Linked DNA regions of Pelodiscus sinensis. The protein of the gene in region 2 purifies or fractionates together with the protein of the main gene of each other region. This does not show direct contact. Links are inferred from orthologs where the notes say so. Each region holds a gene or a part of one and is shown on either strand. Other genes may lie near its edges. The genes, in order: PFDN5 and MAPK7.

What was found.
Region 1: the proteins of MAPK7 (region 2) and PFDN5 purify together in Homo sapiens (affinity purification with mass spectrometry; 3 studies listed by BioGRID and IntAct, with this or other methods). This does not show direct contact. The link is inferred for Pelodiscus sinensis from reciprocal best matches to the Homo sapiens genes MAPK7 and PFDN5.

What each region holds. Positions count from the first base shown.
Region 1 is NW_027465863.1:4,879-19,878, forward strand, and holds PFDN5 (prefoldin subunit 5), read right to left. Parts: upstream 5,702-15,000; 5' UTR 5,616-5,701; coding exon 5,544-5,615; intron 4,932-5,543; coding exon 4,829-4,931; intron 4,228-4,828; coding exon 4,196-4,227; intron 3,240-4,195; coding exon 3,165-3,239; intron 2,219-3,164; coding exon 2,113-2,218; intron 2,007-2,112; coding exon 1,927-2,006; 3' UTR 1,668-1,926; downstream 1-1,667. Other genes in the region: ESPL1 (separin), read right to left, coding at 10,559-10,760, 11,130-11,294, 11,723-11,806, 11,996-12,111, 12,481-12,585, 12,661-12,831, 13,084-13,239, 13,426-13,548 and 2 more. UniProt on the Homo sapiens protein: Binds specifically to cytosolic chaperonin (c-CPN) and transfers target proteins to it. Binds to nascent polypeptide chain and promotes folding in an environment in which there are many competing pathways for nonnative proteins.
Region 2 is NC_134714.1:134,155,872-134,170,974, reverse strand, and holds the start of MAPK7 (mitogen-activated protein kinase 7), read right to left. Parts: upstream 7,721-15,103; 5' UTR 7,573-7,720; intron 6,920-7,572; 5' UTR 6,905-6,919; coding exon 6,691-6,904; intron 6,460-6,690; coding exon 6,294-6,459; intron 5,812-6,293; coding exon 4,691-5,811; intron 3,119-4,690; coding exon 1,404-3,118; intron 1,249-1,403; coding exon 1,121-1,248; intron 651-1,120; coding exon 497-650; 3' UTR 1-496. Other genes in the region: E3 ubiquitin-protein ligase TRIM69-like, read left to right, coding at 10,098-10,496, 10,600-10,695, 11,799-12,032, 12,187-12,209, 12,308-12,432, 12,937-13,478. UniProt on the Homo sapiens protein: Plays a role in various cellular processes such as proliferation, differentiation and cell survival. The upstream activator of MAPK7 is the MAPK kinase MAP2K5.

The DNA.
Region 1 (15,000 bases), on a different chromosome or scaffold from region 2:
GGTGACAGAGACAGACTGTGCTGTGTTCCCTCCCGCAGGGGAAAGCCACTTGGTGACCCAGTGCAAGGCACCTGGCTGGGGAGGAGGAAGGTCGTGTTTGCTAAGGGAGCCACCTGGGCCTGCTCCAGGGCAGGTCCACCATGCCGAGTGGCTTAGCCCCTTGCAGGGGCTGCCCCAGTACATACATGTGATCGGACCGGTCTCCATTCCCGGGGGAGGCAGGGCTGGGGGCTGCCCCCTGCGAGGGGGCCTGAGGTTTCACAAGTGGCTAATGCCCAACACAAGCCCTGGCGCTCTGCACCTGGTAAAACTCAGGCCCTACACTGCAAATTGCCTCTGGCCGCTCAGGAAGTCCCAGGGCATGATGGGCAGAGGGGGCAAGTGGCTCTCCCCGCCTGCGCCGTGGCAGGAGCAACATCTTACTCAAACCCAGGGCTTGGCTTCCCGGAGGCCAGCAGCCCCGGGCATTTGAGCTGTGGGGGCCGAGGGGACTAGAACCCAGGTGCAGCTGCCAGAACGTAAATGCTGCAGCTCAGCCTGGTTGCCTGGGAAGGAAACTCGGCAAGAAGCCGCTGCTGGTGTGTCTCTGCTGTAGTCCAGCTGGACTTTCAGGGGCCAGCCCTTCAGTTGCCCTGCCCCCAGCAGCAGGTGGCTTTAAGCTAGAGCAGCATAGAATCCCAGAACTGGAAGGGACCTTGAGCAGCCACTGAGTCCAGTCCCTGCCCCCACGGCTGGACCAAGCACCAGAGACCATCCCTGGCAGGTCCATCCAAGCTGCTCTTAAATAGCCCCAGTGATGGAGATCCCACCACCTCCCTTGCTGCAGCTAAAGCCCATTGCTCTTGTCCTGGCCTCAGAGCCCAAGAACGACTCTCCCCCTTCTCCTTGATCCACCCTTTTAGATCCCTGAAAACCGCTGTCGTGGCCCCTCTGTCTTCTCCTTTCCAAACTAAACCAGCCCAATTCTTTCCGTCTTCCCTGCTAGCTCGTGCTCCAGCCCTTCTCCAATTGCTCCATCACTTTCCTGAAACGGACACAGCACCCCAGCTGAGGGCTGACCAGCGCTCTGGGCAGGGGCATTACCCGAGGTGCGAACGCAGCAAGGAAGAGTGGTGCCCAAATTACAGCAGTGCACCAAGGGAGACAATTGCACCTCCTGGGGGAAGCCAGGTGCCAGGCCACTCTGCCCATCCTAGCTGTATGAGCTGCATGCAGGGGCCCTAGCGCTGAACCCATCCTCAGCATGGGTGGCAATGCAGGACAGACTCCCCCTCCTCAGAACAGCTGGGTGTGGGGTGAGAACCAGCACTGAGCAGCTGGCCAGGGCTGCCTGCTTCCAGTAGGGCTTGAACCTGGCTGGCCACCCTCAGCCCAAGGCCTGCACACGAGGTGGGACACAGGTAGCTAGCAGAGCTTTGCCTCACCCACTGCCTTGGGGGATCCCCATGCAAGAAGGGTGCAGCCCGAATTTACCACCCGCCTGCTGCCTCCCTGTCCTGCCAGGGCCCAAGTTGTGCTGCGAAAGGGGCACAGAAGCCAGGGTAGAGACAGCAGCCCAGAGCCCCCCACCCCCATCAAGAGCCTCCCCTGGATTGGAAGGGGCTGCACCCCATGCTGGACAGCTCCTTTGCCCAGACCCTGCGTATTTCTCACCAGAGGTGGCCAAGCCCAGTCAGCAACTGTTTAATTTCTCTCCCAGGGAGATCACCTGCCGCATACACAAGGGGAAAGCCCCCCAGGCTGCGCATGTGTAACAGCCACCAGCACAGAGAGCAGATGCCTCCTGGCGGCTGGGGCCAGGCAGTTTCAGCTCCAGCTGCTTCCTCGGTGATTTTAAGACTCTGCTTGTAACAGAACAAAATGCCTCAGTCCAAGTGCAGCACCGCGGCGTGTAGGGCCCATGGGGCTGGGGACGGATGCCACAGGCTATGCCCTTGTTGCCACAGCCTGTGACGCCCCCGTGGCTGTTAGCTGCTGGATCTTCTGGCTCATCATTTCCATCACAGCTGCAAGGGAAAGAACACAGCCAGTGACAGCACATGGCTGAGGGCCTCTCGCAGCTAAGGACAGGTGGTGCCAGTGGTGGGCACCGCCCCAGAGAAAGGTCCCTACCTTGCTTCATGGTGTGTTTTTCCTGCAGCGCCGGCTGAATCTTCTCCATCTGTTTGGTCAGAAAATCAATCTTCCTCTTGAAGAAATCGCGGGCATTGTCTGCAGTCTGCAAGAGGGATGGGAGCATGACATGCCCACCCTCAGGACAGGCAGGCACCGTGGGAGGGGCTTTACCCCCTGCCTGAAGTGCAGGGACAAGGAAGTGACGCACAGGACAGAGTAAGCAAACTGCTCCAAGACTGGGCTGCTCAGGCAATAGCATGTTTGGCCTTTCGGCAGCACCTTCCATCAGAGAACTCAGAGCTCTATACTGGGGGTGGGGAACCATCCTTTAGTTGGGGGCCACCGACCCACAGAAAAATCCGGAACCACCCACAAGAGAAGCAAAAAAACCCCCAAATACCCCACATGAAGCAAAAACCTCACACAATTTGGGGCACTGGAGCTCCCCTTGCGCTCCAGCCCCATGAGGGATGCTGAGGCTCGGGACTTAGGTTGCCCTGCTACTGGGTGACTCATGTGCCAGCCCCGCAGAGGGGCGCCGAGGCTTGGAGACTTGCCACAAGGCTGGAGCGTGAGCACTGGCTTGCCCCGCTGCAGGGGAGGCCCCATGCCTCGCCACTGGCCGGATCAAGGTAAGCCAGGCCCACAGGTCCCCCACCCCTGCACTAACTAATGAAGCATCACAGCTGTCAGTGCATCCAGGTATCACCTGTTTCTGAAATGCAGCCACCTCTGGGGTGTAACATAAGAGCTGTTCAACAGCCCCTCAGCACCCCACAAGATAGAAATTGATGGCACTGTCTCAAAGGGGAAAGTGCTAAGGGAATGAACCCAAGCCCCGAGCAGGGAACTGCAGCGCACTAACCTCACCTGCTAGCAGTCACTCCTCTCTGTCCCAGGGCAGAATTGCACTCCAGCTGTGAGCATGATTTATGCAAAGAGGCTGGAGTGGGGAAGAGTCCAACCACTTTATAAGTAGGTAAAGCGCTTTCTGCCACTCCCTGTCTAATGCTGCTCATGGGTCAACCCACTATGAGAGCGCCTCCTACCTTTTCTACATAGTAGCCCGTCCCCACGTCCACCAGCACATGGCCAACATCAGAGAGCTTCCCGGGGACGTACATCTGCCAGGGAGGTCAAAGGAAAAGACAGGACCAGCAGGGGAACCGTAAGAGCAAGAAGGTTATGGGGATAGCAGCTTAGCCTCACACTACCCGCAAGAGGGCCAGATCCGGAACGGGTAGAAATCAACCGAGCTCCTTCAGCGCAGAGGACAGTTCGTCCAGGGCTTCCGCGTAAAGCACCGTTACACGAGGCTTCTGCAGCGGCAGGACTCCGTTGTACCAACATGCAGAGAGAGTCTCTGTCCTGGAGAGCGCTCAGTCTAACCAAAGGAGGCAGAGAAGGGGGGATGGGAAGTGACTCACCCGAGCTCACACAGCGGGGACTAGACAGTCACAGGCCTGTGCCCTACCCACTGGACCACGTTGCTAGTATGAACTGGGCAGGCCGCCTGGGGATGAGGGGAACCAATTTCAATAGGCATCCAAAGATCCGATCAGTCCCCAGACCCTTCGGTGCTGCTTGGCCCAAGGAGAAGCCCAACCCAGGGCCAGCAGGAAACGCCAAGAGCACTGGAAAACCCACTGGCCCAGCAAGGACTGAGTGGGGCACTAGCAGCTCCGTCCACTCCTAGAGCAGGCACAAGACCAGCAGCTGGACAAGTGCCCCAGTGCAGCCCCCCCGCAGAGTTAGAGGTGAGCTCCCCTCTACTGGCCTACTCCCCTCTGGCAACGAGCCAGCTGGGACGTGGGTGGCCGGCCGGCCATATGGAACAGCACAGACCAGTTTCACAGGAGCAGCTTCAGTCCAGCAGGGCTTAGATGAGTGACAAAGGAAAAGGGTCCCAGTGACTGTTCCCAGCCTCCTGCCCACTGACTGGAAACGTTCAACCCTAAGCTGCTGGCTGCACCCAAGGCAGAGCAGGCTGCGTCCTGGGGCACAAGGGTTCAGTGTCCCATTGGGGAGAGAATCACACTGGAGAGTCAGGAGCAGGAGCACAATGGTGAGGAAAGGATACAGAGCTGGTGAGTGGAACTAGCAGCTCTTTGCCTGGAGAGACAAAGAAATGCCTGTTATTACCCAAACCCTCCCTTGCCCCACAGCACGGGGCCCCCTCCCAACAGCAGCATGGAGGTGAGGTCCATAAAAGGCTATTAGCCAGGGGATAAAATGGTGTCCCTGGCCTCTGTGTGTCGGAGGTTGGAGAGGGATGGCAGGAGACAAATCGCTTGATCATTGTCTTCGGTCCACCCCTCTGGGACACCTGGTGCTGGCTACTGTCGGCAGAGGGGACCCTGGGGCAGCGGGGGGGGGGGGGGGAAGCCTAGGGCCAAGGGGGGGCTCCCCTGGGGAATGGGACAGACGGACCCTGGGGCAGCGGGGGGGGGGGGAGGCCTAGGGCCAAGGGGGCTCCCCTGGGGCATGGGACAGACGGACCCTGGGGCAGCGGGGGGGGGGGGGGGGGAAGCCTAGGGCCAAGGGGGCTCCCCTGGGGCATGGGACAGACGGACCCTAGGGCAGCGGGGGGGGGGAAGCCTAGGGCCAAGGGGGCTCCCCTGGGGCATGGGACAGACGGACCCTAGGGCAGCGGGGGGGGGGGAAGCCTAGGGCCAAGGGGGCTCCCCTGGGGAAGGGGGCGGCCGGCACCCACCTTCGTTGCTGCGGCGGAGCACGCTCAGACAGTCCTTGGCCTCCACATACTTGGTCTGCACCAGCTTGAGCTGGGCGAGGGAGGAGGAGAGAAACTCCACTTCCTGGGGGGACACGCGGCTCAGGGGGGCTCCTGGGGCGGCTCCCGAGGGGTCTCGCGGGGGGGCCTCCCGAAGGCCCCTGGGGGGTGGGGCCGGGGGGGGGGGGGTCTCGCGGGAGGGGGGCGCCTCGCGGGGGGGCGGTTCCCGGAGGCCCCTGGGGGGGCGGGGCCGGGGGGGTCTCGCGGGAGGGGGGCGCCTCGCGGGGGGCGGTTCCCGGAGGCCCCTGGGGGGGCGGGGCCGGGGGGGTCTCGCGGGAGGGGGGCGCCTCGCGGGGGGCGGTTCCTGGAGTCCCCGGGGGGCGGGGCCGGGGGGGTCTCGCGGGGGGGGGGACGCTCCCGGAGTCCCCGGGGGGCGGGGCCGGGGGTCTCGCGGGGGGGGGGGGGAGAGACGCTCCCGGAGTCCCCGGGGGGCGGGGCCGGGGGTCTCGCGGGGGGGAGGGGGGGACGCTCCCGGAGTCCCCGGGGGGCGGGGCCGGGGGTCTCGCGGGGGGGAGGGGCGGCTCCCGGAGTCCCCGGGGGAGGCGGGGCCGGGGGTCTCGCGGGGGGGAGGGGCGCTCCCGGAGTCCCCGGGGGAGGCGGGGCCGGGGGGGGGTCTCGCGGGGGGGCGGGGCCTGACCTGGTCCAGCTGGTTCTTCAGCAGCTCGAGCTGCGGCAGCGCCAGCTCCGTAATGTTCACCTGCTGCGCCATCTTGGGGAGCGCGGGCCGGGGAGACGCTCTGGGCCGGAAGCCGCCTGCGCGAGCCGGACTCTATGGTTCCTTCGGCCCGCCCATGCACTGTGGGGCTCCGCCTACTTCCGGCTGCCATTGTCGGGGGGGTAGTCTCCGCCTACTTCCGGCTGCCATTGCTCCGGGCGGGGCTAGGCTCCGCCTACTTCCGGCTGCCATGGCGGGGAGCTAGGCTCCGCCTACTTCCGGCTGCCATGGCGGGGCGGGGCCAGGCTCCCCGTGGGCAGCAGGTCTGCAGGGGAGTTGCTTGGCCCAGCAAGGCGGCCCCAGGGCTATGTCAGAACAGCAGCGCCTGCTGGTGCCAGTGGAGTCAGTCTGGTTTGCACAGGCCTTAGCCTGTCCAGGCTGGATAACCCCCCAGAAGGGGCAGCCTCTGCTCTTGGGGTCTGCACAGCTCCACCACCTGTCACTTAACATCCAGGCTGCTTACAGGAGCTCAGCAAGGAGCTTTGCAGAGAGGCAGCCATGGGGGCTTCATGCTGGGGCTCTCTGCTGCCCTGAGAGTGGCCTAAAGCCTCTCTCCCCCTTCTCTAAATCCTCTAGCAAGGAGTTCCACAGGTTGACTGTGCACAGAGTAAAGAAAAACTTCCTTTTGTTTGTTTTAAACCTGCTGCCTATTAATTTCATTAGGACACCCCCTCCCAGTTTTTATTGTGGGAATAAGTACATAACTTTTCCTTATTCACTTTTTCCACACTAGTTGTGATTTTATAGACCTCTGTTATATCCCCCCCCCCCTTAGCCTCCTCTTTTCTAAGCTGAAAAGTCCAGGTCTTTTTAATCTCTCTTCATATGGGATCCAAACCCCTGATCGTTTTTGTTGCCCTTTTCTGAACTTTTTCCAATGCCAATGTATCTTTTTCGAGATGAGGCGACCACATCTGGCCACAGTATTCAAGATGTGGGCGTCCCATGGTTTTATGTAGAGTCAATAGGATATTTTCTGTCTTATTCTCTATCCCTTTTTTAATGACTCCTAACATTCTATTTGCTTTTTTCACTGCCGCTGTACACTGAGTGGATGTTTTCAGAGAACTAGCCACAATGACTCCAAGATCTCTCTCGAGTAGTTATAGCCAAATTAGTCCCCAGCATATGGTATAGATAGTTGGGATTATGTTTTCCGATGTGCATTACTTTACATTTATCAACATGAAATTTAATTTGCCATTTTGTTTCCCAATCCCCTAGTTTGGTGAGATCTTTTTGAAGCTCTTCACACTCTTAGCTATCTTGAGCAGTTTGGGATCATCTGCAAGTTTTGCCACCTCACTATTTACCCCTTTCTCTAGATAATTTATAAGTTGAATAGGATGGGGCCCAGGACAGACCCTTGGGGGACCCCACTAGTTACATCTGTCTACTCAGAAAACTTACCATTTATTCCTACCCTTTGCTTTCTGTCTTTTAACCAGTTATCAGTCCACAAAAGGACCTTCCCTTTTATCCCTTGACAACTTACTTAAGAGCCTTTGGAGAGGGAATTTGTCAAAGGCTTTCTGGAAATCTTAAGTATACAACATCCACTGGATCACCCTTGTCCACATGTTTGTTGACCCCTCTCAAAGAACTCTAGCAGATTAGTAAGGCATGATTTCCCTTTACAGAAACCACATGGACTTTCCCCCAACAAATTATATTCATTCACGTCTGACAATTTTATTCTTTACTATAGTTTCAACTAATTTCCCTGGTACTGACGTTAGACTTACTGGCCTGAAATTGCCAGGATCACCTCTAGAGCCCTTTTTAAAAATTGGTGTCACCAAAAATTGGTGTCACCTTAGCTCTTCCAATCATTAGGTACGGAAGCTGATTTAAAGGATAGGTTACAAACCACAGTTACTAGTTCTGCAATTTCTCATTTGAGTGCTTTCAGAACTCTTGGGTGATGCCATCCGGGTCCTGGTGACTTGTTAGTATTAAGTTTATCAATTTGTTCCAAAACCTCCTCTAATGACATCTCAATCTGAGACAATTCCTCAGATTTCCTCACCTAAAAAGAATGGCTCAGGTTTGGGAATCTCCCCAATAGCCTCAGCCACGAAGACTGAAGCAAAGAATTTATTCAGCTTCCCTGCTACAACTATCATCTTTGAGGGCTCCTTTAACATCTCGATCATCCAAATGCCCCACCGGTTGTTTAGCCGGCTTCCTGCTTCTGATGTACTTAAACATTTTACTATTACTCTGAGTTTTTGGCTAGCCGTTCTTCAAACTCTTTGGGGGCTTTTCTTATATTTTTACATTTAATTTGACAGTTTATGGTCCTTTCTATTTTTCCTCACTAGGATTTGACTTCCATTTTTTAAAAGATATCTTTTTCATCTGTGTCTGCTTCTTTTACCTGGTTGGTAAGCCACAGTGGCACTTTTTTGGTTCTCTTATTGTTTTTTAATTTGGGGTATATATTTAAGTTGGGCCTCTATTATGGTGTCTTTGAAAAGTTTCCATGCATCTTGCACAGATTTTACTTTTGTCACTGTACCTTTTAATTTCTGTTTAACTTCCTCATTTTTGTGTAGTTCCCCTTTCTGAAATTAAATGCCAGTGTTGGGCTGCTGAGGTGTTTTTCCCACTGCAGGGATGTTAAATTTTATTACAGTATGGTCACTATTTCCAGGTGGTCCAGTTATATTTACCTCTTGAACCAGATCCTGAACTCCACTTAAGACTAAATCAAGAATAGCCTCTCCCCTTGTGGGTTCCTCAACCAGCTGCTCCAAGAAGCAGTTATTTAATGGATCAAGAAATTTTATCTCTGCATCCCATCCTGAGGTCATGTGTACCCAGTCAATACAGGGATAGTTGAAGACCCCAGCTATTATTGGCTATGTCTAGACTGGCATGATTTTCCGCAAATGCTTTTAATGGAAAAGTTTTCCATTAAAAGCATTTGCAGAAAAAAACATCTAGATTGGCACGGACGCTTTTCCGCAAAAGCACTTTTTGCAGAAAAGCGTCCGTGCCAATCTAGATGCGCTTTTCCGCAAAAAAGCCCCGATTGCCATTTGTGCAAAACAAATCTGAGCTGTCTACACCGGCCCTTTTGCACAAAAGCTTTACACAAAAGGGACTTTTGCCCAAACGGGAGCAGCATAGTATTTCCAACAGTAGGAAGTCAGTGTTCTTATGGAAATTCAAACGACCAGTGTAGACAGCTGGCAAGTTTTTCCCGCAAAAGCAGCTGCTTTTGCAGAAAAACTTGCCGGTCTAGACACACCCATTGAGTTTAATTTGATAGCGTCTCTAGTCTCTCTCAGAATTTCTCAGTCACTATCACGGTCCTGATAATATATCCCTACAGCTATATTCTTATTATTGGAGCGTGGAATTACTGTCCATAAAGATTCTATGGAACATTTTGGTTCATTTAAGATTTTTTGCTTCATTTGATTCTACATTTTCTTTCACATATAGTGCCACAGTATGACCTGCTCTGTCCTTCCAATATATTTTGTACCCTCGTATGATTGTGTCCCATTGATTGTCCTCATTCCACCAAAATTTCCATGATGACTATTATATCAATATCCTCCTTTAAAAACTAGGTACTCCAGTTCACCCATTTTACTCTTTAGACTTTTAGCATTTACATATAAGCACTTTAATAATTTGTCACTATTTATGTCTGCCATTTCCTGATGTTAGACTCTTTCATTTGATTGTCTCATTTGACCTGACCCATACTTCCATCATCTCCTCCTGACTAGAACATCTCTATTAATATAGCCTCCCCAATAGATCTCTGTCCAATCCATGTGCTTCTCCACACCTAGAATCATAGAATAATAGGACTGGAAGGGACCTCAAGAGGTCATCGAGTCCAGCCCCCCGCCCTCAAGGCAGGACCAAGCTCCGTCTACACCATCCCTGACAGATGACTATCTAATCTGTTCTTAAATATCTCCAGCGAGGGAGATTCCACCACCTCCCTTGGCAATTTATTCCAATATTTGACCACCCTGACAGTTAGGAATTTTTTCCTAATGTCCAATCTAAACCTCCCCTGCTGCACTTTAAGCCCATTACTCCTTGTCCTGTCCTCAGAAACCAAGAGGAACAAATTTTCTCCTTCCGACACACTTTTAGATATTTGAAAACCGCTATCATGTCCCCCCTTAATCTTCTTTTTTCCAAACTAAACAAGCCCAGTTCATGAAGCCTGGCTTCACAGGTCATGTTCTCTAAACCTTTAATCATTCTTGTCGCTCTTCTCTGTACCCTTTCCAATTTCTCCACATCTTTCTTGAAATGTGGCGCCCAGAACTGGACACAGTACTCCAGCTGAGGCCTAACTAGTGCAGAGTAGAGCGGCAGAATGACTTCACGAGTTTTGCTTACAACACACCTGTTGATACAACCTAGAATCATATTGGCTTTCCCCCAGTCTTTAGTTTAAAAACTGCTCTACGACCTTTTTAATGTTAAGTACTAGCAATCTGGTTCCATTTCGATTTAGGTCAGAAGTGGAGGAGTGAATTGTCTGCCTGCCCTGGGGCCCAGGAAAGCCACATGATTCAAGGCTATGGCTCCACCAGCTTTATTTCAGTTGACCATAACACTTGTACGGCAGTTTACAATATAAAAACTCAGGTACTTTTATTAAAATAACTTATTCATACAGATTTGACAATTTACATGCATACGATTCTTCTCCCAGACCAGCCACTCCAAGACACTGCAGCTGTTTAAATGTGCCACAGTGAACCTTAAGAGATCATCCATCCACAAGTCCTTATGAGAAGCCAACCAGGGGCTGTCTGCCGAGATCAGACAGACAAGGCTGAAAATCTGCATCTGAACAAAAGGCACTTTCAGAGGAGCTTTGGTCCAGAGGAGGCAGAGGTCAGGTGCTGGATCTCCTTTATGATCCAAGTCCCATGACGCCTTGGACAGGGGTCTCACTGCAGAATCACAGGCAAGCCATAGGCTATGGGGGCTGCACCAATCAGGTATTTGAGTCTGGGGGCCTGGCGGGACTGGGCAACATGCTGGAGGAGAGGAGCACCTGGTCCTGACTTCAGCCAGCTCTGGAGAAGTGCCTCCATATAGCGGTCGATGTCTCGGTCAGTCACATCCCAGAGGTTTCCCAGCACCAAGGGGCTGTAAAGGGAACAGACACAGGGCTGGAGCCGGTACCTTCACCCAGCATAGCCATGTCTGGCCTAAGTACAAAGAGGGTAGTTCAGTTCCTAACCCTCTCCCTGCTATTAATTAGATGTGTGTGGTGAGTGAGTGAGGGAAGCTTGCACTGGCCTCAGGCAGCAGAGTGGGAGGCTGTGATGGGATTAGAGATGTTGATTTATGGCCATTAGCAGATGGAGTTCTACGAGCTCAGCCAGGGTGACCAGACCTCATGTTTCAGGGTCCAAACTGAGCCTCTACAGGGGTCAGGAAGGAGCCCTCCAACCCTCGCACCTCCCTGGTTTACACACAGCTCTAAAGCCACGTGGGCCGGGGGGGGAGACTCACCATCCCGCCATGATGTACTTGAGGATGATACCGGTTCCCTCCAGGTTGCCACGGAGGGCCAGGGCAGCACTGCTGCAGCCGAAGAGCAGGGCCACAGCACGGCAGTCCAGCTTGAGGACCGAATGGCCATCCAGGAATCGAGCCCCTGCTCCATGCCCGGCGTAGCTAAGGCAGAGTTTGTGGTTAGTGCCCAGCACGGCAGGGGATCTGGTGACAGCTGGGGTCACTGCTCTCCCACGCAGCTCCCTGGCCTCCAGTGAGGCTGACTCGCAGGACAAATGCTCTGCAGCCATGGCCCGATGGGGTGCCTTGCTACTGTTCCCCTGGGCGCACCCCATCCCTCAGGATCATTACGCTTTGTCCTTTACACAGGAGAGTGCCACTTGCCACTACAGAAACCCATCGGCAGCAGCATCCTGCAGAGGGGTCTCCTTGGACCTCAGAGTGGGGAGCAGGGGAGCTGGCAATGGTACCCAGAAGTCTGAGGTGCACATCTGTGAGAGGGACTCGCCCTGCTTGCTGGCTCCACCCACCGTTGGAGACCCATGTCCCGCTGGCTTGTAGGTGGCCCCCAACCCGCCAGCAACACTTACATGTAGAGATCGTGCTCCGTGAGAGCCGACTGCATCTGCTCCTGGCTTGGGACTGCTCCTGTCGCCCCGCTCCAGCCGGGTTCGCTGTGAGACGACACCGAGTGAGAACAGAGCAGGGCGCCCGCCGCCCTGCCAGTGACAGGCAAACTCCCATGGCCTGGCTTAGCAATGCCCCTTGCGGGCACCTGCTGAGGCCTCAGGGGACACACGTCTCCGTCTGAGGTGGGCAGATTAACCCTTCCCCACTGGGCACACAGGCAGGGACGCACCCACCTCTCAAACCAGGCTCGGAAGCGCTCCTCTGTCCCAGGCAGGTTGTCGTGAGGGTTGAGGACGTAGAAGGCATTGCTGGGGTTCACCCCGCGGGTGAGGACAGACCCTGGCTGATGCTGAAATGAGGCCCCCCCGAGACGTGTTACTTCCCCCCTTAGGTGCAGCATCCTACAGAGCCCCAGGCACAGGCTGAGATCTTGGAGAGGATCCGTGTGGGCAGCCACAGCACCCCAGGACCCAGGGCACTGGGCAGTGCCCCGTCCAGCCATGTGAACTTAGTCCTGGCTCACAGCACTTGGAACTTGCCCCAGGGCACCTCAGAGCCCCTCCAGCGAGCAGGGAGGGGGCCACTGCTCCTCTTGCCTGGATCTCTCAAGCTCAGTAAGTCGAGCAGGTCGGACGGGGGAAGGGGATTTCCCCATCCCGAGGAAGGGCCCAAAGGGGCTACCCACTGTCCCAGCCTGGCCCGCCTCACCCCCACTTACTCTTTGGGCAAGGGTGTAGCTGAGCAGGAAGCGCAAGGAGGGTAGCCGGGTCACTGGCAGGGCTCTCAAGCAGGGCATGTTCTCCCAGGGCAGCTTCTGCAGGTGCTGGAGAGGAGAGAGACACCCGATGAGCCAGGGGCTGGGCTGGCAGGGACATGCTTTGGGGAGGCCACCACTAACCTTGTCCAGCACAAGAACCAGGTGACCACTCGCCTGCCCGCTGCGGGATCTCCCCCTGTCCAGCGCCTCCTGCAGCAGGGCCTGCGCGGCATGCGGCTGTGCTGGGCACAGCCCCGACGCAAGGCACTGCACGTCTTGGGGGGTGAGGAGGTGAGCGCTGGTCAACACGAGCTGAGGGGAGAGAGAGACTGAGGCGTGAGCGACTGGGCCAGAAGTGGGACCAACACCTCAAACCCCCCCATGGGACCCACGTGCTCTCCTGAGGTCAGGTCCCATTAGTGGAGACCTGGCTCCCTTCCCACCAGTCACAGGCTCAACTCAGCAGGCTAACGCTAGACCAGCCACATCTCCCTGCCCGGCCAAAGCCAAGAGCCGGGTCGTGCTCGGAGCTCCTCGGCTGGCCCTCCCAGGACTCTCCTTCACCTTCAGCAGGGCCAGATCAGAGCCGTCCCAGCCACACTCCCGGAGACGTTCCTGCAGGCTGGAGGCCTCCTCGCCCACAGCAGGGTCTGGGCTGGCCGGCAGCAAGGCCCCCTTCCAGCATCCCAGCACCTCCTTCTCCAGAGTCTCCGTCAGGACCTGCAGGAGGGAACAGGAGTCTGGAGCACTGACAGCAAAGCCCCCCCAGTCCCCTCAGTGGAAGGGTCTGTGAGGAGGGAGCTCCCCCATAGGGCCATGGGAAACACATTGGCAGAGCAAGGTGGGGCAGAGGTAGCCAGAAAGCCCAAGGCTCCTGCTCCGCCGAGTTCCTGCATCCCCACCCACCTTCATCCTTCTGTCCAGCTCCGTCCGGCCCATCCACCAGTCCCTCTTGTCCGTGCAGCTGCTGAATTCCTTCTGCTCCCTCTGGATGGCATCAAACTCGCCAAGCACGGTGCTCAGGGGCGCCTGCAGACACACAGCACTGTGACCCCCGTCCTGAGCCCCCACTGCTGCCAGCCTGCTGTGCCATGGACCCTGCCCCTCACCTTGCTGTGAGCTGTTGGGATGTGGATGGTGACTGGAGGGCTGTCCTTCTCCAGGCGGGTTAGCAGCAAGGTGTCCCCAGCAGTGCCAGGCTGCAGGCTCCCCAGGGTCAGCAGGCACACGGCTACACCTGCCAGGAGCAATTAGGGGAGGTCACCCAATGGGCCACGCCCAGCTACGAGCCGTTGGCGTGTTCCCAGGCCCTCCCAGTGCAGTGGCATGGACACGGGGACAGGGCAAGCTGCCCACATGCCAACAGCCTGCCCTGTAGCAGGAGGATTTGGTTCCCCAGGCCCTTCACTCCTCGCTTGGGGTCTGAGGGTGCAAACAAGGTCCCCAGCGGGGACGGCTGTTTGCTCCAGAGACACCGGAGCCCAGACTCGCTTAGCAATGGCGCTGCCCATTCAGCCAGGGCCAGACGGGCACCTCGCTGCCGGAAAAGCCAAAAGCCACCCCTACCCGGTCTGAAGGGCAGCCTCCCGCCCAGCACATACCGCCAGGGATTTGCTGCAGCTGCTCCCTGAAGCTCTCCGTCTCTCCTGGGCCCAGCCCTGCCGCACTGAATTCAAACAAGCTCTGGAGCTGCTCCAGGTGCTGGAGCTGCGAACCGGCACCCCCTCCCTGCAGGGTGAGCTCCTGCAGCTGAGCAGCAACCCCGGCCACTGACTTTTTCTTCATTTTGCTGGAGAGGAAAGCAGGGCGGGTCAGTGCAGCAGAGCCCCGCGGGACCCAGAAAACAGGAGGGGCAGAGGCGGGGGGCCGAAAGGCTGCTCTGAGCCCAGGCTGATGGAACAGGCAAGAAGGGATGTGCCTACACCTGGGGCTGGAATCCCTTGACATTGGTATTTTTCCATTGGGAGGAGGAGGATGAAACAGAAGTCGCACCCTGGGGAAATCCTACGGAGGGATGAAAGCAGATAGTCTTCAGCTGGCTTTTGGAAACTGCCTCCCCACGTGAGACCCAGGCCAGCAAAACCATCAGCTCTGACCGGAAGAGCATTACTGAAATCAGAGTGAGGGTGAGAAACAGGATCTGTAACAATCTCCGGGTGTACCCGGCTAACTGGGGTCTATTTTAGGCTAGTAACTTGTCTGGTCACCTGCAGTCACTTACATTTGTTAATCAAAGCCAGTGTAAAGAATTGTTCCTGGTGGTGGGGAAGCACCCACCTTGCTTCTCTCCCTCTCATACACCCCCCGCCCCCCCCCCGATAAGGAGAGCCAACTCTTTGGGGTTTAAGCCCCTTTAGTGCTGTCAAGTCCCTGTAGCTGAGCCTTCCAGAGCGGAGCTGTTCTCCGTGTTGAGTTACTCTACTGGGTCGCTGTTACCCCAACTCTGGGCCTCTGCAGAAGGCGCTTTTGAGCCAGCAGGAC
Region 2 (15,103 bases):
TAGAGGGGAAACGGGGGTCAAAAAACGGTGCTGATTACACACCAAACTGCCTAGAGAAACCCCACACAGCGATCCAGGCCATGAAGGGCAGGAATTCCTCACGCCGCTGGGTTTAGGAAGAGTCAAAGGCGGGTGAGCAACGCTCATGCTCCAGGGCAATTCATAGGGGTCAGGGAGGAAATCAAACCCCCCCCCCCATATTGCAAGGCAGCATCTCTTCCTGGCGCTATGGGGACTACTGAGCCCCTGCCCTACGGCGCAGTGCCCTGAAGGTACAGGCAAGCTCTGCCATCCATGCATGGTGCCTGCTTCATGTGAGACTGTCGGGGCAGCAGGCGAACCAGCAACGGACCCACACGAGCAGGAGACAGGAGCGTCTAATTGCTGCTTGACTCAGCCCATCCTGACCCCAGAGGGAGGGGAAGAGGGGTTTGCTCCTGACCCCACCCGCAGCCCCCATGAGGAGAGACGGCGCAGAGGGGCTGGGGTCTCAGTCTCAGGCATCTTGGAGGTCGGGAATGTCGGAGAGGATCATGGGAGAGCCCAGCTGCAGCTCCTGCTGGAGGGATTCCATATCGGCTGGGTTCATCCGATGCACCTCCAGCCAGTCAGCCAGCAGGGAGGCAGAGAGAGGGGCTGAATCGCCCTGGCTAGGGGAGGAAGAAGAAAAAACAGATCAGACAGACGCGGGGCTGAGCAGCTAATCACCGTGAGCCCCCAGGAAGGACTGGAACCTGTGACCCAGGGACCTAGTGATGCTGCAGAGCTTCATGGGAGTTGTAGTTCAGGGGCTGTAGTCTGACAGGATGCCCCAGGAGCTCCCTGGGAAAGCTTAACTGTGGGTAGGGCTCCCCAGCCAGTCCAATGAGGGAGCCCGGCTCAGAGGACAGAATGAGATAACCCAGCTACTACTCCCATGATGCACTGCAGCAGCTCAGCCAGAGGGAAGCCATGGGGCATCATGGGAGATGTAGTTTGACCAGGGGGTGCAAGTTATGGAAAGTGGGGGGCAGCTGAAGAACTCGGATGAATGGACCTACAGGGTTAACGCAGTGGGGGGGCTGGGGAGCAGGATGTCCGGCAGCGGCTCTAGCGGCTTCGCGCAGCAGGGAGGGCTCACCTGTCCCTGTTCTCCGCCGCCATGTCAAAGGACTGATTGAGGAATTCCTCCAAATCGAACCCCACGCCGTAGCCCGCTCCACTGCCCTTGGGGGTCACCGAGAAGACGGGCGGCAGGAGATCCTCCACCTGTGATGGCAGCAAGACACAGTGAGCCTGGCACCCCCGGGCGCCCATCTCTCCCCCCCCCGCTTATCGGCTCCCCGGCAGAGACGGAGCGGCCCCATCCGGGCCCACCTCGACGGATCTGAGGCGCTGCCCTTAAAAGGGAAAGGCCCCGTTACCTGCGACTTGGAGAGCTGCTGCGTAACCATGGTGATGTCCGGTGACTCCGTGGGGACAGTGTCCGGCAACGGGGCTGTGGCGACCGGGTGCTGGTTGGGCCCTTTGACGCCTCCTACCGCTGGCTCCGGGGTCCTCTTCCCCATCTCCTGCAGGAAGACGGCCGGGTCCAACCCCACGCCCTCCCTGCCTGGGGGCACGAGGCTGCCCAGGGGGCGGCTCGACGGCCCCTCTTGCGGCTGTGCCCCGTTAGGGGTCGTTGGGCCTTCCCCGGGTGCCAGCCTCCCGGCCATGGGCCAGTTCTCTGGGCCCTGGGCCCCAGGCCATGCCAAGCCGAAGGGGGCCTGGAAGATCTGGCCCGGGGCGTATTTGACGCTCAGAAGGCACTCAGGTTTCGACAAAGCTTTGTGGCAAGCCGTGGAGGCCACGAGAACTGGAGGGAAGGGGCCGGGCGGGGCCGGGAAGTACTGCACCATGTTGGGAGCGGGGCCACTGGCTGGGTCTGCAGTCATAGGCAGCACAGTGAGTTTAGCGCCACCGCCGGCTGGCGCCTTCTCAGGGAAGCTCAAGAAATCCGACGTCGCAGCCATGTGACTAGCTGACATGGCTGGGAGGTGGCCAACGGCTCCCGGTGGAAGGTGGCCAGTAGGGGTGGCTGGAAGGTGGCCAGTGGCTCCTGGTCGAAGGTGGCCAGCATGGATGGCTGGGAGGTGGCCAGCAGGTCCCAGTGGAAGGTGGCCAGCAGGCGTGGCTGGAGGGTGGCCGGTGGGTCCTGGTGGAACATGACCGACAGAAGTTGTTGGGAGATGGCCAGTGACTCCCAGCGGAACATGACCTGCAGTCATGGCTGGGAGTTGGCCAGTGGCTGCCAGTTGAACGTGACCTGTGGCTCCCAGAACGTGGCCGGCAGGCGTGGCTGGGAGGTGGCTGGGGGCTCCCGGCGGAACGTGGCCGGCAGGCGTGGCTGGGAGGTGGTTGGTGGCTCCCAGCGGAACATGGCCGGCAGGCGTGGCTGGGAGGTGGTTGGTGGCTCCCGGCGGAACGTGGCCGGCAGGCGTGGCTGGGAGGTGGTTGGTGGCTCCCGGCGGAACGTGGCCGGCAGGAGTGGCTGGGAGGTGGTTGGCGGCTCCTGGTGGAACGTGGCCGGCAGGCGTGGCTGGGAGGTGGTTGGTGGCTCCCGGTGGAACGTGGCCGGCAGGCGTGGCTGGGAGGTGGTTGGCAGCTCCTGGTGGAACGTGGCTGGCAGGCGTGGCTGGGAGGTGGCTGGTGGTTCCCAGTGGAACGTGGCCAACAGGTGTGGCTGGGAGGTGACCAGCAGCCCCTGGTGGAACATGACCAGTGGCTCCCGGTGGAACGTGGCCAGCAGGCGTGGCTGGTACAGGACCGACAGGCGTGGCCGGGGCGTGGCCAGCAGGAACAAGGTTGCCAGGCGTGGTTGGGGCGTGATCCATGGGCCCATTGAGAGCCAGTTTCTGATGATTCCGGTCAATCATCTTGGTCCATCTCTCCAGGAGGCTGCGGTCGTTCTCGCTCAGCACCAACCCGCCCAGCACGTCGCCGCGCCGCAGCTCCTTGCGCTCCTTCTCCTTCTGCTTCTTCTCCCGCTCCTTGGCCCGCTCCTGCCGCCGCTTGCGCTTCTCCTCCCGCTCCCGCTGCCGCTCCTGGGCCGTCACCGGCTTCCTCATGTCCAGGGGCTCAGGGACGGAGCTCAGGGTGTCTGGGAACAAAGCACAGAGGAGTCAGCTCGCTCCCGGCAGCCCCGGGCATCACCCCCAGCCCTGCCGGTGCCCCTCACTCCTGACGCGCGAGGCCAGAGGCGTCCAACCTAGACAGCTGGCTGGGAAGGGCCCCCTCAGGGTAACGGGCCATTGGGGGGGGAGTGGCCCATAGAAGAAGCATGGCCCACACCTGGTGAGCCTTCCTGTGTGGACAATTCGGTCACCCTGCAAGTAACGGGTACCAGAGCATGTGACCAGCCCACAAGCCTCTGTTACCTACCAGCTCTGTGTTCTTGGGGAACCAGAGCATGGCCACCTGTCCGCCCTGTGCTCTTGGGGAGCCAACGATGGAGTTACGACCGTTCGCACTTACGACCAAAGCTCCCATGGAGCGGTCGTAAAGGCGGTCCCCGAGTTACGGACGCAACCCGCGCGTACGAACAGCGCGGTCGCGTGTAACTCAATGGGGTGCGAGTTACGAACGGATCCAGTTACGGCCCAGTGTTTGGTGCGTAACTCGTTCGTCACTCGGGGAGAGGCTGTACAAACAAATGCAAAATATCCCTCTTAGGAAGCATCAAGTGCACACATCCAAACTGGGACCCGAGGAAGAACTACCCCAGAAAAGAATCTGGAGGCCATAATGCGCCATAAGTAAATAAGCGTTAACAGAGTAACACTGTGAGCAAACATCATTCTGGGGAGTATAAGCAGGTGCAAGACACAAGCAGCTCCACTCCAGACCGTACTGTGTCCCGTTCTGGGTGCCACATTTCAAGGAAGATGTGGACAAACTGGAGAAAGTCAAGAGGAGAGCAACAAAAATGATCGCTCGTCTAGAAAACATGACCTGTGCGGGCAGATTGAAAAAACACCTGGTTTTCTTGAGTCTGCAGAAGAGGATTGAGAAGGACAGAATAAGTTTTCAAGCTTGTTACAAGGAGGATGAAAATGTGTTCTTCTTAACCTCCGAGGATAGGACAAAAAGCAACAGGCTAAAATTGCAGCAAGTGCAGTTTGGAATGGAAAGCAGGACAGATTTCCTGCCGGGGTGGTTATGCTCCGGAACAGAGTGTCTAGGGAGGCTGTGGGATTTCCATCTTGGAGGTTTTTAACAACAGGTTAGACAATCACCTACCAGCCGCCGTTAGGGCAGGGGAATGGCCCAGATAACTATGGGTATGTCTACACTACCCCGCTAGTTCGAACTAGCGGGGTAATGTATGCATACCGCACTTGCTAATGAAGCCCGGGATTTGAATTTCCCGGGCTTCATTAGCATAAGCGGGGAGCCGCCATTTTTAAATCCCCGCTGCTTCGAACCCCGTGTAGCGTGGCTACACGGGGCTCGAACTAGGTAGTTCGGACTAGGGTGCCTATTCCGAACTACCGTTACTCCTCGTGAAACGAGGGTAGTGTAGACATACCCTTACTGAGGTCCCTTCCAGTCCTCTACATCTCTGATTCTAGGAAAATCAGAAACAGAATCCAAGATTCCTGGCTCCCAGCCCCCGCCACCGCCCTGCTCTCACCACTAGACCTCACTCCCTTCCCACATCCCAGCCTTTCACCTTTGTTCTTATTGCGCAGCGCCGACTTCAGCAGCGCGGCCTTGAGCGCCGCCTTGGTGTCGTCCGAGATGGCCCCCTCCCTCTTCGGTGGCAAGGCTTCCGGCTCAGCCTTTACCTCGGCCGGCCCCTCGAGGTTGGGGGGAGCCCCAGGCGAGGTCAGGTCTATGGTCTCCGGAGGGTAAGGGACTTCCACGGGGGCTGGCGACTCCATGGCATAGTCTCCCCCAGTGGATCCGGCGCTGGGCATGTCCACGTCCTGGCAGCGCAAGGGGGCAGCAGCGGGCGGGGTGGCATCGGCCGGCCGGAGGGCGGGTTTGAAGCTGATCTGCCGGCGGATCCCTTCGCGGCGCTCATGGAAGTCATGGATCTCGGCCACAATGGCCTCCTTGATTCGCTCTTTGGTGAGGACCTGCTTGTCGAAGTCGAAATCGAAGGCGGGCACGCAGTCGGGCTCGTCGTCCGGGTCGTGGTACTTGGCCACAAAGGGGTGCTTGAGGGCCTCGGCCACGGTGATCCGCTCGCGGGGGTCGAAGCGCAGCATCTTGGCCAGCAGCGCCAAGGCCGAGCGGTCGGCCTGCTGGTAGAGGGTCTCCCAGGGCACCGGCTGGCGGGAGGGCAGGCTCTGGATGTAGGCACGTACCCGGTCAGCCCCGATGGCGTGGATCACCTTGGCGGAGGGCGTGCCCAGCACCGTCATGATCAGCTGCAGCTGGTGGATGTAATTCTTCCCGGGGAAGAGCTGCTTGCGGCCCAGCATCTCGGCAAAGATGCAGCCGACGGACCACATGTCAATGGCCTGCGTGTATTCATGCAGGGAGAGCATGAGTTCCGGGGCCCGGTACCACCGCGTGGCCACGTACTCGGTCATGAAGTATTTGTACTCGTCCGGCTTGGTGCACAGCCCCCGGGCCATGCCGAAATCCCCGATCTTCAGCTCGCAGTTCTCGTTGATGAGCAGGTTGCTGGGCTTCAGGTCGCGGTGGATGACGTTGGCCGAGTGGATGTACTTGAGACCCCGGAGCAGCTGGTAGAGGAAGTATCGGACATGTTCCAGCGTGAGGGGCTGGGAGGAGTGGATAATCTGGTGAAGGTCGCTCTCCATCAGGTCTAGCACCACGTACCTGCCAGGGGGTGGGGAGGTCAGTGGGGAAGAGGACCCAGAAGTCCTAGCTGCCAGCTCCACCCTCACGTTCACTCACTAAACACCCCTCCCTAGAGACCCCAGAGGTCTAGGCCCCCGCACAAGTCTCCCTGCTCAACCCCACCTCTTCCAAAGCCGGGGAGACAACCCAGGAGTCCTGGCTCCCAACCCCACCTAGCTCTAACCACTAGATCGCACTCCCCTCCCAGGACCAGGGATAGGCCTCAGGAGCTCTGGCTCCCAGCCCCGTACGCCACTCTCCTAGGGTTGCCAAATGGACACACTTGACATTACATCACAACCTACATTCCATCTTATTTAGAAAATACCAGCCAGTTCTAGTGTCTCAATTTGTTTCCCGAACAGAAAGCTCAAACACTGGACTGTCCGGTTCAAAACCGGACACCTGGCGACCCTACTCCCCTCCCAAAGCTAGGGACAGGATCCGGGGCGGGCGCTCACACGGATCTGAAGTCATCATAAGGCACCGCGGGTTTCAGGATGTCTTTGATGGCGATGATGTTGTCGTGCTTGAAGTGTTTGAGGATCTTAAGCTCGCGGAGGGTCCGCTTGGCGTTCATCACCACATCGAAGGCGTTGGGGATCTTCTTGATTGCCACCTGCTGGCCTGGAGGGAACCAGAGCAGAGAGGGTCAGAGTAGAGATGCCATCCCCTGCGCAGCCCTCCCCTATGGAACCCAGGAGTCCTGCCTCCCAGCCCCCCACTCTGACCCCTCTAGGCCTAATTCCCCTCCCAGGGCTGTGACTAGACCCAGGAGTGCTGCCTCCCAGCCCTCCTCCCGTTCTAACCCACGAGCCCCCATGCCCCTCCCAGGAGTGCGGCTGGGTCCGAGCTGACCTGTGGACCGGCGCCGGGCGGAGCTGACCACGCCGTAAGCTCCGGTGCCGATGGTCTCGATGACCTCGTACTCGTCCCCCACCTCGAAGGTGACGTCGAGGGAGCGAGCCTTGAGGATGGCCAAGTTCTTGGCTGCTACGGTGGCCCGGTGCGCCGGCTCCCGCTTGTCCCGCTCCTCCGCCTCCTCCTCTTCTTCCTTCCGCGGCTCTGCCATGGTGCCTGCCCCCTGCTGAGGGAAGGCCGGGCAGGGGGAGATCAGGGAGAGGCTCCCTGAGAGAACCCAGGCATCCGGGAGTGGTGGTGCAGGCAACGGGGGGTGGGGGGGTACAGGGCCTCAATCAGCTGTGGTGGGGGAGGGGAAGAGAGAACTAGGAGAGGGTGGGGTCACAGTGCACGGAGCCTGGCAGGGAGGGGGGCGGGGCCTGGCAGGGAGGGGCGGAGCCAGCAGGGTGGGGGCGGGGCCTGACAAGGTAGGGATGGGGCAGGAGTCTTGGGGACTGGGCACCATGGGACCAGGCCTGGCAGGGAGGGGGCGGGGCCTGGCAGGGCGGGGGCGGGGCAGGAGTGTCTCTGGGGTGGGTGCCATGTGACTGGGCCTGGCAGGGAGGGGCGGGGCCTGGAAGAGAGGGGCGGGGCTTGGCAGTCGGGGGCGGGGCCTGGAAGGGAGGGGCGGGGCTTGGCAGGGAGGGGGCGGGGCGGGGCAGGAGTGGGTGCCATGTGACTGGGCCTGGAAGGGAGGGGCGGGGCTTGGAAGCCGGGGGCGGGGCCTGGAACGGAGGGGCGGGGCGTCATGGGGCAGAGACTCTCTCCCCTTCGCGGAGGGGCCGAGGGCCGCTGGGGGCGGGGTTTCCCCAGGGGGCGGGGCCTCGCGGCCTCTCTCACCAGCTCGCGCCCCGCGCCTCCCCAACCGCGGGCCGGTTCCCCCTCGGGTCCGCCGCTCCCAGCGCCTGCCCCGAATGCCCGGATGTGGCGTCGCCCCGCCCGCCCGGCCAATCACGGCGGAGGAAGGGGCGAGACCCGCAGAAGCGCGCAGGGGCCGGGCGGCTCCAAGTCCCGCCCACTCTCTGGCGGATGAGCCAATCGCGCGAGGGAGAGGGCTTCCTTACGCAATTCCCGCCCTCCCAAGGCGTGGCCAATCACGGGCTAGCTTCTTGAGAAATTAGCCAATCAGAGTAGAGGAGCAGGGCGACGGCGATTTTTACCGAAACGCCACCGCTTAGCAGGGATTGACCAATCACAGAGTGGTTCCCAGCCAATCAGAAAGAGAGTGTCTTCCCTAAACCCCGCCCTCTCTTAGGGATAGATGGACCGAGCAGCCAGTCAGAAAGAAAACTGATTCGTCTTTTTTATACATCCCTCTTACTCCCTCTAGCCAATCAGCGATTACTTCCTCATTACTGCTATCCAATCAGATCGCAACAGTGGGCGAGGCGGGGGGCGGGGAGGGCCGGGAATTTAAAGGGCCAGGCAGCCCTTTGTAGGGGAGAGGCTGAGAGTGTTCGAACAGCGCCTGGAGGGGCAGTGGGGGCTAGTGGTTAGAGCAGGAGGGCCAGGGGCCAGGACTCCTGGGTTCTAGCTGAGGGAGGGCAGTGGGGGATAGTGGTTAGAGCAGGAGGGCCAGGGGCCAGGACTCCTGGGTTCTAGCTGAGGGAGGGCAGAGGGGGATAGTGGTTAGAGCAGGAGGGCCGGGGGCCAGGACTCCTGGGTTCTAGCTGAGGGAAGGCAGTGGGGGATAGTGGTTAGAGCAGGAGGGCCAGGGGCCAGGACTCCTGGGTTCTAGCTGAGGGAGGGCAGTGGGGGCTAGTGGTTAGAGCAGGAGGGCCAGGGGCCAGGACTCCTGGGTTCTAGCTGAGGGAGGGCAGTGGGGGATAGTGGTTAGAGCAGGAGGGCCAGGGGCCAGGACTCCTGGGTTCTAGCTGAGGGAAGGCAGTGGGGGATAGTGGTTAGAGCAGGAGGGCCAGGGGCCAGGACTCCTGGGTTCTAGCTGAGGGAAGGCAGTGGGGGATAGTGGTTAGAGCAGGAGGGCCAGGGGCCAGGACTCCTGGGTTCTAGCTGAGGGAGGGCAATGGGGGATAGTGGTTAGAGCAGGAGGGCCAGGGGCCAGGACTCCTGGGTTCTAGCTGAGGGAGGGCAGTGGGGGATAGTGGTTAGAGCAGGAGGGCCAGGGGCCAGGACTCCTGGGTTCTAGCTGAGGGAAGGCAGTGGGGGATAGTGGTTAAAGCAGGAGGGCCAGGGGCCAGGACTCCTGGGTTCTAGCTGAGGGAGGGCAGAGGGGGATAGTGGTTAGAGCAGGAGGGCCGGGGGCCAGGACTCCTGGGTTCTAGCTGAGGGAAGGCAGTGGGGGATAGTGGTTAGAGCGGGAGGGCCAGGGGCCAGGACTCCTGGGTTCTAGCTGAGGGAGGGCAGTGGGGGATAGTGGTTAGAGCGGGAGGGCCGGGGGCCAGGACTCCTGGGTTCTAGCTGAGGGAGGGCAGTGGGGGATAGTGGTTAGAGCGGGGGGGCCTGGGGGCCAGGACTCCTGGGTTCTAGCTGAGGGAGGGCAGTGGGGGATAGTGGTTAGAGCGGGGGGGGCTGGGGGCCAGGACTCCTGTGTTCTGCCTCCAGCTGTGGGGCGGGTGGGGCTGGGAGTGACAATCCCACTGGAGCCTGGGGAGGGCAGGGGACGTGACAGGGCACACAAGGGCTCCTGGTGAGTCCATGGAGGCTGAGTCCAGCAATGGCTACTAGCCAGGCTGGGCAGGGTGGGTGTCCCTGGCCTCTGTGCCAGGGGCTTGGAACGGGCAACACTGGGCTAGCTGAACCTTTGGTCTGTCCCTGTCTGGCCGCTCTGCCCCCCCGCCCTAGGAGAGGGGAGTTAGTGGGGTCTTTGGGCCCCCAGCCTCAGGGTGAAATGTCGCCCCTAGATTTTGGGGTGGGTAAGCACAGTGTGTTCCCCTCAGACCTGCCCTGCTCGGCAGGGCTAAGAGCCGGGCTGCCTCCTGCGAGGCTGAGAAATGAGTCCAGCTCAGTGCGTGTATCAAATTTCTGGCCATTCGGGGGTGGTTGTGCGAGAGAGAAAGAGATTCTGTGTGTGTGTGTGTGTGTGTGTGTGTGTCTGTGGCCTCGGTGTGGGTGTAATTCTGGCTGTCAGCATGTGTGGGGGAGAGCGATTGTGCGTGTGCCTGTGCCTGTCTATCTCTGAGCATCGCTCCCTGGCTGGGTGTGTTGGGCCCTGCTCCCAGGCACACCCCCTGTGGGTGATAAACTCACCGAGCGCAGAGCAAACCTAACCTGTCACCCAGCTGGCCGCACCTTTCCCCGGGTTTCCCTGTGGACGCAGCACACAGCAGCTCCTGGGCTCTCTCCCGGGCTCAGGGAGGGCAGTGGGGCCTGGTAGTTACAACAGGGGGAGCCAGGATCTGCCCCTCATGGCTTCCAATCCCCCCCAACTGGGCTGTCTCTCGGAGGAGTTCTCCTGCCCTGTGTGCCTGGACTGGCTGCGGGCTCCCGTCACGCTCCCCTGCGGCCACACCTACTGCCAGGGCTGCATCGAGACAGCGTGGGGCACCATGGGGGTCCCTCCAGCCTGCCCTGAATGCCGGGAGCTCTGCCCCGACCGGAGATATGCCCCCTGCAGGCTGCTGGGCAAGCTGATTGACCAGGCCAGGGGGGTGAGCCCTGGTGGGGCAGGGGAAAGGGTGCGCCCAGAGGGCAGGGGCCAGGGCTACAACGAACCCCGGAAGATGGAGGGAGAATGCAGCAGGGAGATCCGCGGGGGACCAGCCACGCACGAGAACCCCACCCACCAGGCCACCGTACAGCACCAGGTGAGACGGGGAACCTGGGCTCTGTCCCCCACTCTGGGGGGAGTGTGGGGGCTCTGGCCTGTGATCCCCCACCCTCACCTCCAGCCTGTTTCCTGCCCTGTAGGAAGAGCCGGCCTCAGCTGAAGCCCAGCTGGAGTCCAGCCTCGCTCAGCTCCTGCGGCTGAAGAGGGAGGTGGAAGAAAGGATTTGGAACCACCAGGTACCTGGGGCTGGGTGGCGGGAAGGGCAGGAGCCTGGACCCCCCACCCCCCCACATGGGCTCTGGGGGCCAGCAGGGCCGAGTAGCTGTGAAGGGCAGGGCTGGGGGTATCTGTGACTATGCCAGAGACTTGAGTTTTCCCATCGCTGGGAGATAAGAACAGCAGAATGGCCAGACGGGGTCAGACCAAAGGCCTGTCTCACCCAGTGGGCTGACGGCCGGGCCCCGGAGGGAGGGAACACAACAGGGAAGCATCAAGTGTTCCCTCCCCAGCTCCTGACAAACAGAGGCCAGGGACCCCATCCCTACCCAACCTGGCTAGTAGCCACTGATGGACCTAACCTCCAGGAATCTATCTAGCTCTTTTTTGAACCCTGCTAAAGTCCTGGTCTTCACCAAATCCTCTGGCGAGGAGTTCCACAGGTTGTCTGCGCCCTGCGTGAAGAAAAACTTCCTTTGGTTTGTTTTAAACCCGCTACCTGTTCATTTCATTGGATGACCCCTAGTTCTGATGTTATGGGAGCCAGTAAAGAACTTTTCCTTGCTCACTTTCTCCACACCTGTCCTGATTTTATTGACCTCTGTCATATCCCCCCCAGTCTTTTTAATCTCTCTTCATATGGGACCCGTTCCAAACCCCTCCGCATTTTTGTTGCCCTTCTCTGAATCTTTTCCCATGCCAAAGGTAGTTTTTTGAGGTGAGGCAACCACATCTGCACACAGTATTCAAGATGGGGCTGTACCCTGGATTATCCTCGCTCCCTTTCTTAACGATTCCCAGCTTTCTGCGTGTTTGCCTGGCGCTGCGCATGGAGTTACCTGGTCCGCAGTGGAGATGACTTACAGAAGGATCTCGAGAGCCGGGGGCCAGACAGTAGTAGCCACAGAGAGTAGTTAGGTAGAAGCTGCTGGATACTCGAGTAGCTGGAGGAATATTACTCCAGTGTAACCTCGAGGTGCCTGGGGGTTGTATTAGCAAGCACGTGGGCTGCTGGGTCCCCAGAGAGGGTGAGCAGGATGCAGGCAGGTACCTGGGAGCGCTAGCTCCTGGGGTGCTGGTCCCGCTGCATCCTCTGGGCACTGGGCGGGTCCCTGTTCTCCAGGCGACGGTGCTCGGCCTGGGGGATCACATCTCGGCGGAGTTCGGGAAGCTGCGGGGCTGGCTGGCTGCCCGGGAGGAGCAGTGGCAGGTGGGGCTGCGGCAGGCGGGCAGCAGGCAGCTGCGGGCGCTGGAGAGGAACCTGCAGGAGCTGGAGGGGAAATGCCACGCGGCGCGGGAGATGCTCATGGAGACCCAGGGCCCCCTGCCCCAAGGGGACGTTGCGGAGTTCCTGACGGTGAGTCCAGCGCCCCCTAGTGTGGAAGAGCCCCGTGTCTGCTCCCCACCCCACGCAGGGAGTCCCCGGAGCTGGCGCCCCAAGTCCCACACAGGGCCTTAAAGAGACAGAGCTATACTTATTGCTTCTCTCTCTCTGTGTCCGTCCCTCACAGGACATCAAATCCTTCCTGACCTGGTAAGTCCGCCGCGTTCCTTGGTCCCTCCCCACACCCCCTTCCCCATTGCTCAGTCCCTAATACGCTGTGGCCGGGGCGGTTCTCCCCCCTTATACAGGGCGAAGCAGCATCTGGCTACGCCTCGTGGGCCAAATACAGGGTCCATGTGGCAGATCCTGGGGCAGTTTAAAGGGCCAATCCAGTATACTGCCTGGAAGGACATGAAATCCATCCTCAGCATCGGTAAGAGAAAAGGGCCCAGCAAGGGGTGCTCTCCCCTGGCAGGCAGGGCTGGTGCCAGGGGGCTCTGTGGGGCAGGGAGGGGGCAGGGCCCAGCAGGGGGCTCTCTCCCCGGGCTGGCCCAATGCACCAGGGTGGTGCTAGGGGGCACTGTGCTGCAGGGGACCAGCAGGGGGCGCTGTCTTCTGGCAGACAGGGCTAACCCTGTGCCCCAGGGTGGTGCCAGGGGGCGCTGTGGGGCAGGGCCCAGCAGGGGGCGCTCTCCCCAGGCAGGCAGGGCTGTCCCAGTGCACCAGAGTGGCACTAGGGGGCATTGTGCTGCAGGGGACCTGCGGGGAGCGCTCTGGGTTGGCCCAGTGCCCCAGGGTGGTGCCAGGGGGCGCTGTGGGGCAGGGCTCAGCAGGGGGCGCTCTCCCCTGGCTGGCAGGGCTGGCCCTCAGCAGCTCAGTGCTGCAGGGGGCCTCGATTTAACCCTCCCTCCCCCACCCCCTTCTTGTCCCTCTCCAGATCTGCCGCAGGTGACGCTGGATCCCACCACGGCTCATCCCTGCCTGGTTCTCTCAGAGGATCGGACCCGGGTCCGGGACGGACACCACCGCCGGCCCCTCCCCGACACTCCCGCCCGCTTCGATTTCTGCGTGGCTGTGCTGGGCGCGGCGGCGTTCGCCTCCGGGAGGTGCTACTGGGAGGTGGAGGTTGGGGAGAAGCAGGCGTGGACGCTGGGCGTGGTCCATGCCTCCATCAACCGCAAGGGGAAGATCCAGGCCTCCCCCAGCAAGGGCTTCTGGGTCATTCGGCTCCGGGGCGGGACTGAGCTCATGGCCAAGGACATGCCCCCAGTGGTGCTCCGCCCCCAGAACCTGCCCCACAGGATCGGGGTCTACCTGGACTACGAAGGGGGCCAGGTTTCCTTCTACGACGCCCACAGCATGTCCCACCTCTATACCTTCAGCGCGTGCTTTGCAGAGAGAGTGTATCCCTATTTCTGCCCCGGGCTGTATGATTCGGGGGGGAATGCTACCCCCCTGAAAATCTGCCCCCTGCCCTGAGTCAGCCTTACCCTGCTCCGGGGCCAGACGGAGCTGGTGCCCCCTAGCAGGGAAAGGCCCCTTGTCCCATTTCCCCAGCCCCCTGAGCCAGCCAAGCCTCTGCCCAAGGGCCAGCTGGCAGCTGGAGCCCCTAAAGGGGTCAGGCCCTGTGATCCATTCCCCAGCCCCCTGAGCCAGACAATGGATTATTGATGAATGGCCATCATCCTCAGACTCGTCAGAGCCAGCTGTTTGGTTCTCCGAAGCAAGAAGGAACGGAGCACAAGGCCAGACTGCACCCTGCCAAGCAGGGACTCCAACAAGATCCTCATGGACATGCAACCCAGCACGAACCCCCAATGTTTCCTCTACTCTTTTCTACCCATGCGCGGATTTTTTCCATCTGTGTAGAATAAATTTTGTTATGTGCACCGCAGTGTGTGAAGATGTGCACCACCAGGAGAAACACCAACCTAGCGGTGGGTATCCTGCTAACCAGCTAGGCAGTATTCGAATTTTTCCTGCGTCCCGCTTCCAGGGAATGCTGGCTCCCAGCGCGACGCCGTGGCCGGAAGAGCTAGTGTGGTCCTGGGGGCACACACGGGAATGGTGAGTAGGAGCTGAGAGGTGATTCCCACTGGGGCCCTGCTGCTGGGGTCCTGTGTCCAGTTCCGGGGCCCCCACTCAAGGACAGTGATGGATCGGAGAGGGGGCAGAGAAGAGCCGTGAGAAGGGTCAATGGGTCGGGCAGCCTGCCTGAGAGAGATTCCCGGAGCTCTGGCTAGTTCCAGGAGCACAGAGGGCTAAAGGGTGACTTGGTCGTGCTCTGTAAACACCTCAGGCAGGAGCAGAACAGTGATCAGTGGCTGTCCAGCCTGGCCGACACAGGCCTAACACAGCAGTTCCCAAACTTTTCGGCATCGTGCCCTCTTTTTGATTTTTGAGGAACCCTCACACCCCCACTCCCAAAAACATAGCAGCAAAATTCAAAGTGGGATTGACGGGGGGGGGGGTGCGTCTGGGTTGCCTCGTGCCCCCCCTGGAATTTTTTCACGCCCCCCAGGGGGCACACCCCCCAGTTTGGGAACCCATGGTCTAACAGGAACCAATGGCAGACCAGTTCAGACTGGAAATAAGGGGCATCTTGGGGAACTCACCCTGAGGACAAGAACAGAAGGCTACGTCTAGACTGGCATGATTTTCCGCAAATGCTTTTAACGGAAAAGTTTCCCGTTAAAAGCATTTGCGGAACAGAGCGTCTAGATTGGCACAGACGCTTTTCCACAAAAGCACTTTTTGCGGAAAAGCGTCCGTGGCCAATCTAGACGCGCTTTTGCGCAAAAAAAACCTCGAACGCCATTTTCACGATTGGGGCTTTTTTGTGGAAAACAAATCTGAGCTGTCTACACTGGCCCTTTTGCGCAAAAGCTTTGCGCAAAAGGACTTTTGCCCGAACGGGAGCAGCACAGTATTTCCGCAAGAAGCCCTGATTTCAGACACTAGGAAGTCAGTGTTCTTGTGGAAATTCAAGCAGCCAGTGTAGACAGCTGGCAAGTTTTTCCGGAAAAGCAGCTGATTTTGCAGAAAAACTTGCCAGTCCAGACACAGCCAAGGTATTGCAGTGGGACCCTGAACGCCAACTGCAG